Linked DNA regions of Drosophila melanogaster. The protein of the gene in region 2 interacts with the protein of the main gene of each other region in a biochemical or structural test. Each region holds a gene or a part of one and is shown on either strand. Other genes may lie near its edges.

Region 1 (3,961 bases), 7.2 Mb from region 2:
TTAGAAACCCCTTTATATTAAAGCCGTGCTCGGTAAGCCATAGATTCTAGGGTTAATCATAACGAAATGTCGCAAATCGATCATTGAAATTTGTACGTTAATTGAAGATTATAAATCAAAATCTATCCTGGCTTGAGCACGCCCTAAGCTATTTAGTTTGTAAGTTAAGTTCAACGTCATGACTACCATCATTTCGTTAATAGCAAATGAAGAACAAGAAATTAAAACTCGCAGGAAATACAATACTCTGAGATGGAGCTACGAACAAATGCAGACAGATTTAAAATGAAGACTGTTTCAGTTCTGCCTTGCAAATTATTAGTCCCGAATTAGCAGTAATCGAAATCGTTGCTAAATCCTTACAAGTTTCATTAACAAATATACTCTATATACTTGGTTTTCTGTGATAAAAATAAACGCTGCGCTGCATTTGGGCAATGTTGCCTGTTTTTTTTGTCGCTGCCTACACGTTTCACTTCTGCATTTGCAATTCCGTCAACCCATTTCGCTAGAGATTAGGTAGCTACATAAGATAGGAGTGTACGCTAGCATTCGAAAACACACACAAACTTTATTGCTAATGATAATAATAAACTTAATTGATAAATGTTAATTTCTCGTATCTATATAAATGAAAATTTATGATGCCATAATTAAATTACGCGGGGAGCCCTAAACTAAAAATGTAATTAAAAGGAATTAACTGAAAATTAAACAAGAATGTGTTCACTGCGTGTGCGCCAGGATCCAAGGATGCACCATCACCTGATCCAGCGGTAGGCGGTGCTGCGGATTAAGGACCAGCAGCTTGGAAATGAGATGGGATGCTGCCTTGGAAATGTGCTCCGGCAGTTTGTAGTCCACCTTGAGAATCTTCTTGTAGGTCTCGTCATAGTTCTTCGAGTAGAAGGGAGCGTGGCCCACTAGCAGCTCAAAGCAGAGCACACCCAGGCTCCATAGATCCACGTTTTTCGTGTGCGGCTTGCCCTGAACCATTTCGGGTGGCAAGTAGTCGACAGTGCCGCACAGTGTCATGCGCATGGAGTTCGGCTCGTGCACGGACCAACCGAAGTCGGCGATCTTCAGGACGCCCTTGTGCCCGAGCAGCAAGTTCTCCGGCTTGATGTCCCTGTGTATGATGTCCCGCTCATGCAGATAGAGCAGCGCCGAGCACAACGCCTGAATATAGGTGGCCGACTGGCGTTCATCGAAACGTTTCATCGGCTGTGCCTGCAAGGCGTTGAAAAGCGTTCCTTGTGGCGCATACTCCAAGATCAGATATATGCGCACGTCGTCGTGAAAGTAGGCATACAGACGCAGGATATGCGGATGACGTAGGTGCGATTGTATCTCGATCTCACGACGCACCTGGTGCTCCACATTGGACTCGCCAATCTGGCGCTTAAAGAGCACTTTTAGGGCCACCACGAACTGGGATTCCTTTTCCCGCGCCAAATAAACGTTGCCAAACTTGCCCCGTCCCAGCAGGCGACCAATATCAAAGTTGTTGAGCTCCCAGGTCTTCTTCGGCTTCTGGGGCTGGGTTTCTGCAGAAAATTACAATTGAGTTTGGTAATTGCAAAAGATTACAGCTGAACCATTAACCCACCAGTCTTGGTTTTCTCTTTTTCAGCGGAGCTGCTGGCCGCACCCAGTTCCTTGGAGGATTCAGAGCTCGCAGCAGTGGGTTTCTGCTTGGAAAGTGACTCAGGCTTCTTGATAGGTGCTACTGGAGCCGGAGCAGCAAACTCTGATGTGGTCTTCTTCACGGACGGCACCATGGGTTTTTGGAAGTTGTTTCCTTCGGAGGAAGCTATGGAATTGGAGCCTCCTAGGCCTGGCTTCCTGATCAAAGCGCCAGAGGATCCTGGCAAGGGTTTGCTAGCTGGAGCCATATTCTCGCTGTTGGGCTGTATCACAATGGTACCAAATAAGAGTTTCAGCTGCACTCCAGAGATTTACCACTTAACGTACCTTCTTTCCCAATAGCAAGTTCTTTTGCATATTGTGCACTGCAGCTGATTTTTCTGGCATTCTGTGCGGAGCATTTTCCTTGGGACGCAGCACATGGTCAGACGGATGGGACATGACGGCACAGGCACTCGACAACTAACAGAACAGATTACAATTTTGGTCAGTTAACAATGAAAGCCGATATTGGGTAAAACATTCACGACTCCCGGGATCCTGTGAAAATAAAATGCCGTTCGTTTGAATTGTGAAGCGGGCGTGTGCGTGATGAGGCGAATGGCAAGTGTGCGATACTATCGGTTGGTTGAAGAATATCGTGACTTTGTAGTGTTAGAAAATGTTATATTGTGTATTATTTCAATTTGAAATCAAGAGAATTATTGAATAGTGCTCTAAACTTTGGCATTTATGTTATTTTAACCTTAATTTCTATCTCTATACAAATACATCTATCAAAGCGTCTTAATTTTGAAAATATGTTAATTCGTCGCACTTTATTTTGATTAACCGGACGATAGACTATCGGAAGATATTTATAAATATCGTTAATTGTGTACATCTCAATTCCAATATTTTTTATTTCTGGTGACTGTGAACCAGAACAGCTGTGATTTTATCGGGCATCTCTGAACATCAGGTGTTATTAACAAGCAAAGTTTTTATTGGAATTCGTCGTTTATGATATGATGCCGAATCATGGACACACCGGAGATCCACGTAAATATAAGCTCGCAGACTTGCCGCGTCTGCCTGGAGACGCACGAGACCAATCTGTATGTCCACGATGAAATCAAATACAACGACCTTAAGTTGGAGCTCTGGCAGTTGTTGGAGGCAGTTTCCAAATTGAAGGTAAAGAGCTACAATTTCAAGAAACTTCGAAAAATAAGTTCAATTATTTCCAGTGGACATGGACGGACCCAAATCTGCCTATGCATCTGTGTCAAAATTGCGCCCGCCGGCTGATCGGCGCCTATGAGTTCATCGTCGAAGTGGAAAACGCCCATGAAACTTTACAGAATCTCTTCGAGCAACAGGAAGTTGCTGCCAAGCCGGATGAAGTTCATGTGGATGTCGTGGAGCTTATAGACCAAGACGATGTGGTCAGTATGGCACAATACCTGTCCACGTCTTTTGCCGAACAGCACGTGGAAATGGAGGAGAAGTATGGAGACCAAGACTGTTCAGCTTTTACTTCAGATGTGGGCGAAGAGCCACTCTATGCGAGCGAGGATCGTGATGATGAGCCTGAAGACTCCTTTCAGCTGAAGCCTCGGCCAGATGAAATAGAAAACAGAGAATTGTCGCGACCTTCCCAGCTGGGCAGTCGTTTGAACCATTCGGCGAACTTCATCTACAAGTGCGCCGTCTGTCCGCGTGTCTTTGCCAAAAGTGAATCTCTGACTCGTCATTTTTCCCAAGCCCACAAACTGACAGCGGACGTGGCCGCCATGAAGCTGGCCAACGAGAGCTGCGGCACCGGTCTGCTAACCTGTGAGCACTGTCCGCGGACATTCAAGCGTCAGGACACACTCCGGCGACACATGCAGGCATTCCATCCCGACGCAATCGCATTGGAACCCGAAGAAACGACGGACAATTCCGCCCGAAAACGCATAGCTAAGCGGCGAGACTGTCCGCACTGTGGCCTGAGCTTTCCCGTATCTAGCCTTACCATCCACATTCGGCGACATACGGGCGATAATCCGTACAAGTGCGATCAATGCGAGAAGGCCTTTCCGCGCAGCCAAGATCTTAGTCTTCACATGCGTCAGCACACCGGCGAGCGTCCCAGTGAGTGCAAGATCTGCTCCAAGAAGTTTATTTCGCAGAACAAGCTGGCGCGACACATGCGATTGCACACGGGTCAAAGGCCGTACTCCTGCAAAATGTGCAGCAAGAGCTTTGTGCAGTCCAACGACCTTAAGATCCATATGCGGCGCCACACGGGCGAGCGACCATATCAGTGTGGAGTGTGCGGCGAGAGCTT
Region 2 (4,946 bases):
GGCTGATGGCAGTGCATGGTCTCTCCATTGATTCTACTGCCACCGAAAATTGCTTCTCTTGATTAGGGTATTCTAGAGATTTTGCTGATTTTGTGGACAGTTCTGAAGAAGCCTCTTTGAGATTTAAGGCCTTTTCAGGCTCCTTAGGATTTTGTGCGTCCTTCACCTGAGCACTACTGACCGGGTGGTGCTTCTCTTTCTGAAATATATCTTTTGTATTTGTTTGCATTTCCTCTTGATGCTTAGCTAAGTCTTTCGTAGAGTCCAAGGCAGATAAGGTGAGCTTCGGCTCAAAGGATTGTGTACCAGACTCCTCAGACAGTACTGATTCTACCAATGATTCTGATTCCTTTGCATCACTATTGGGTTTAGAGTGTTTGGCTAACTGGTCTAGTTCAACCCTATTTTGCTCCTGATTTGGATGATAGTGCACAAAATTATTCTCTGGTTTTGACTGGGTTACGCTGAGAATATGCGTTTGCATAAGATGACGGTCTTCCGCATTCAAGACGTCCTTTAACATTTCCATGGTTTCGTTTAGGTCATCCACATCCATGGCTTCATAGCTGACGTTGTTGTGCTGGCTAACTGCCAAAGGATCGTTGAATTCAGCTCCCAGTGTAGAAACTGAGGTCATGGACAGCTGCTGCTCCAAAACATCATTAAGGGCACTTGAATATGCCTCTAACTCCGATCGATCTCCGGTGTAGCGCTCGCTATGAAGCGATAAACACTCGACAAAAACATCCGAATCCGAATGGTTGGATTTCAGTTGAGCTAAGGGAGGAATGAATGCGATATATTAATCAATTCGTTTTAATAATAATTAAATACATATAAGAAATTTATTTATATAATTAATACAACGAGAAATTTATACATAAACTTGGAAATGATTTATTTTCCCCAGCTGGCCCTTTCCTTTGTATAAATGACGGTATTGAAATAGAAGAAATTACTTCGCTCTTCTGGCGGATTTCGTATGGAATTCTTTTGTACATCAATATAATTTTTCTACCTTAAGAGATTTCTGGGTTACACAAACAAGATTTACTCACTATCCATATCGGTACTTAAAGGAGCTAGTTCCGGTATTTGCGTCTCATCGAACTCGGGAAGACCTCCAAACTTTGGAACGAGGTCGTCTTCTGGCTTAAGTCCACCGGGTACCGCCGTCTGATGCCCCAGAGCTGCCGCCATTGCCTTCTGTTGATCCATGCTCGTTGGCTTGGGACTGGGCTTCACCGCCAACGGACTCAGCTGCCAAACAAGAGATGCAAAATTTAAGAATATAGTTATCAAGATGTACATCGCGGTCATGATCCGAATAGTTTTAAACCGTGAACAACCGATGTTGGGAATGGGGTTTTAAAGATGATCACGAGTAGCAGCTGGTTGGTCATTTAATTAAGAATTTTTGACACACAAAAAGGCAAGAGCCCCACCACAGTTGGCATAAATAAATCGCATTTGGGATGACTTTTCCCGTATTTTCCCATTGCCAAGAAATTATACAAAGGCATAGGACCCCCATTTTTAGTTATTATCATATACAAAAGAATACATTATTATGAAATTATGATCTTCATTTGAAAAACTTCAATCTCATCTAATGTAGCCCATATGATACAGATGCCTTCAATTCACGCTTAAAAAAGACATACATTTCAAATGTTTGTCGCAGTCGGTCAGTCAACAAAAGCAAATGTCATTAATTAAAAAGCCAGCCAAGACGTAAAAATCGGGTATATGGCATATGTTTGGGAGGGTGGCAACGAAACGGATTGAGGAGCAAAAGGTGGGGAGATGGACGTGGAACTGGGTCGACGTCAGCTTTTGTGCAGTGCGAAATAAACATGCCGCGGATTCAATGCGGCCGGCCGCCATGTTTAATGTCTATTTAGGTTTGGGAGCATCGTTCTACACGCGGAATTTAATTAGAGCGCATTGCAGTATAATGGGTGCTGCAAGGTTAAAGTCAGAAGAATAAGGCGAGTGGTGACCGGCTTATGAGCGAGACACTAAAAATTAGGAAAATTCTGGCATTAGACCAATTTCTCCGTTTCGATTTTATTGATAAGTATTTTAATTTTAATTTTTTGACAATGGGCTCAAATTTGAGTGGTAATGGGAAGCAGATTCCTGCGGAATATTAGCCCAAGCTAATGGCTAGATACAACCCTATTTAAAATAATATTTTCTGCAACGCAATAAGGTGACAAAACCAAGTGGAACCGCATAAATACTATATATGCAATCGGCAAAACACATTGGGACATTACAAAAAAATTCCAATGTGTAGATTTATGCAGTTTGCCTAATACTAGAACACCCCCCCCCCCCCCCCCAGGGATGCACATAAAAAGATAGTCCTAATTCTTTCAGACATACCTCGCCACTCATGGCTTGCAAGTGCTCCATTTCGTTAGCACTCACTTGGTTCAGATTGAAGTTTATTTCGCTTAGAAATTTCTGTATTTCTTCTCTACTATCAGTGCTGTCCTCGGGGGCTGGGAGTGGGTTCGAGATGGATTCCATAAATAGTTCACAGTGCTTTCCCTCCAGTCGTTGCAGCTCCTCAGAGGCGGACTCTAGTAACGAGTCCAGGTGCGCGGATACAAGTGTAACTCCTCCCTTATCCCTTGGTGTAGAACATTCATCAGCGGGACTAGCAGCTTCTAGGGCTTCCATTGTCGTTGGCTGATTGGTGCTGATGCCAGTGGTGGCGATGCTTTTGGGTCTTTTGATGATATTCGCGAGGAAATCCATGCCGCTCTACGCACGATTAACTCCTGAGACGCGATACGGTTCACTTGGCTCCAAAAAATAATGGATCTATAGAGTTCCTTAGTTTGGTCTTTAGTGTTTTTTTTTTTTTTTTTTTTTTGTGGTTTTTGTTGTGACACAGATTTGGGCTCGCCTACTCGGTAAAATCTTTACTGTGATTTTCCGCTTCCATTATATTGGGTAATACCTCCGGGTTTCTCACGGCCCGTTGTCGCGTGCGGTTCTCACTGCCTCCCGATCATGTCTGCCTTTAAAATCAATTTAAAAATATTTTCGTTTTCAATTTGCTTTGCTCTGCTCAGCGTCACACATGCACAAATACTTAGAGCACGGCGAGAGTGCGGGGGATCGACAGACCGAGTGAGAGAACGAATAGTTTGAATGGCATCCACATAACGATCCGGATGTTTTCGTATGTCTTCATGTTTGGATCGTTTTAGCCCACATGGCGTTCTCCCCTTATCAGCACGGTCCTCTCTTCCATTTATAATACTGCCATATGTTTTCACATGTGAGACGGCGGCTAGAGACACCTTTGTATATTACACATTATGGATTTCATACCAACTTAAAACATTTATTTAGCACATCCTTAGTCTTGAAATAGTTCCGATAAGTTATACTCTGAACTTTTAAGCACAAATATTCCTAATGAAAATTAAATCAAAACAACAGAGAACTCAGTCGTTTTTCTCGACTACCCATTACTCAGCTTTTGGAGCTACGAGAAATATACCCTTCAAAGATTTTATTAGCATATAAATAATATAAGTCTTAGTGGCCAGATAGACTTGGCTGGTGATTCTGAAGATGAAATCTTATCCTTTCTATGGTTGGAATAGTTACCCTTTTCTATTTCGAGAAAATATATTGGGTTTTATGAAGCTAGAGGGCAACACACACTTGATCCATTTAAACACACTTCTCTTAGATATATGAAATACATTTTGGAAACGGTCGAGGTCGTGGGCAACATTTATAAAATAATAATGTCAAAAGAGCGGGCTCAAGTTGACAACCTTTTTGACTGAACTGCAGTGAAAAACTGAAAAACTATACAGGCCTCAGACGAAATTCAGACTGAAAGGCAGCAGTGAAAGTGCAAGACACCGCAAATAAGTCGAAACACTTAAAGAAGGGGATAAATAAATGGGATACGAGAATACGGCGACCGCCGACTGCTTATATTGTCTTCGCAAATCAACTGGAGGAACTTGGTGCAAATTCAACGCTTTGATGACAGAATTATTTTGCACATTTTCCATAGGATTTTTGGAGAACAGTCTTATTTGCAAAATGCTTTCTCTTAAAGATATACCAGTAGAGGCAAGTAGAGTGCTCTAAAATAATAAATATGTTGATTTGGCTCATCACATTGTTTCAAGTGTAGAGGCCTGGTGGGTCCCAGATGACATGCAATCCCACAGCCATTGTTGCGCATCATGGCGCACTATCTGCAAGCTCCACATTGCCCAACGGCTGACTTTGCATGTTTGGCGAGAAAATGTAAGCAATGAAACGGAATCCCACACGATGGGCCTTGACGAGGGGGGAATAGTTAGATGTTGGCTCTAGCGTTATCCAAGCAGCGCGCGACAGGTGACAAGATATCACACGGTTCCCGGCTCAGGGTGAATTTAAAACCAATGTAGTTTGTTGAAGCATATAAGCCTTGAGTGGAATCCAAATAGTGGCCACAAATGAGTATACTGATTTCAGAAAACACAATAAATACAATAGAATAGAATACAAGTGGAATTTGAACCTTAAGCTGCAATTCGAATATCCAATAGAACTCAGGAAAATAAAAGAAAACAAATATTGAGGAAGAGCCAACTATAAACTGATCTAAAAATAGGCAAATGTGGAAAGGGGTGGAAACCATCTGTAGATCCTTTATAATGAGCATTTTTGTTGGCAAAAGGGAAGATGGAGTTAAATGACATTTAGTCAAACTTAAATCCTCAGATGGGCGTTTTTTGGACTGTAAACCGCATTAGGCACTGACATTTTGCAGCCGTTAGCCGCCAACTGATTTATTGGCATAATAGCGATACACACTAGCATTTTTAAATGGAAAGTGCACCATCTGGAGAGTGGAAATTTCAAGAGACAAATATATAGAAGGAAGAATAAGTAACTTTTGATTTTCCCTTGGC

Evidence for each region. The genes of interacting proteins can lie anywhere in the genome.
Region 1: of the proteins of tacc (region 2) and aurA, one has a biochemical effect on the other in vitro, tested with the Drosophila melanogaster proteins (one study listed by BioGRID).

The regions. Positions count from the first base shown.
Region 1 is NT_033777.3:11,961,419-11,965,379, reverse strand, and holds aurA (aurora A), read right to left. Parts: upstream 2,257-3,961; 5' UTR 2,089-2,256; coding exon 1,975-2,088; intron 1,911-1,974; coding exon 1,610-1,910; intron 1,548-1,609; coding exon 727-1,547; 3' UTR 554-726; downstream 1-553. Other genes in the region: CG3281 (uncharacterized protein), read left to right, coding at 2,668-2,823, 2,877-3,961.
Region 2 is NT_033777.3:4,743,406-4,748,351, forward strand, and holds the start of tacc (transforming acidic coiled-coil protein), read right to left. Parts: upstream 3,010-4,946; 5' UTR 2,770-3,009; coding exon 2,392-2,769; intron 1,261-2,391; coding exon 1,059-1,260; intron 778-1,058; coding exon 1-777.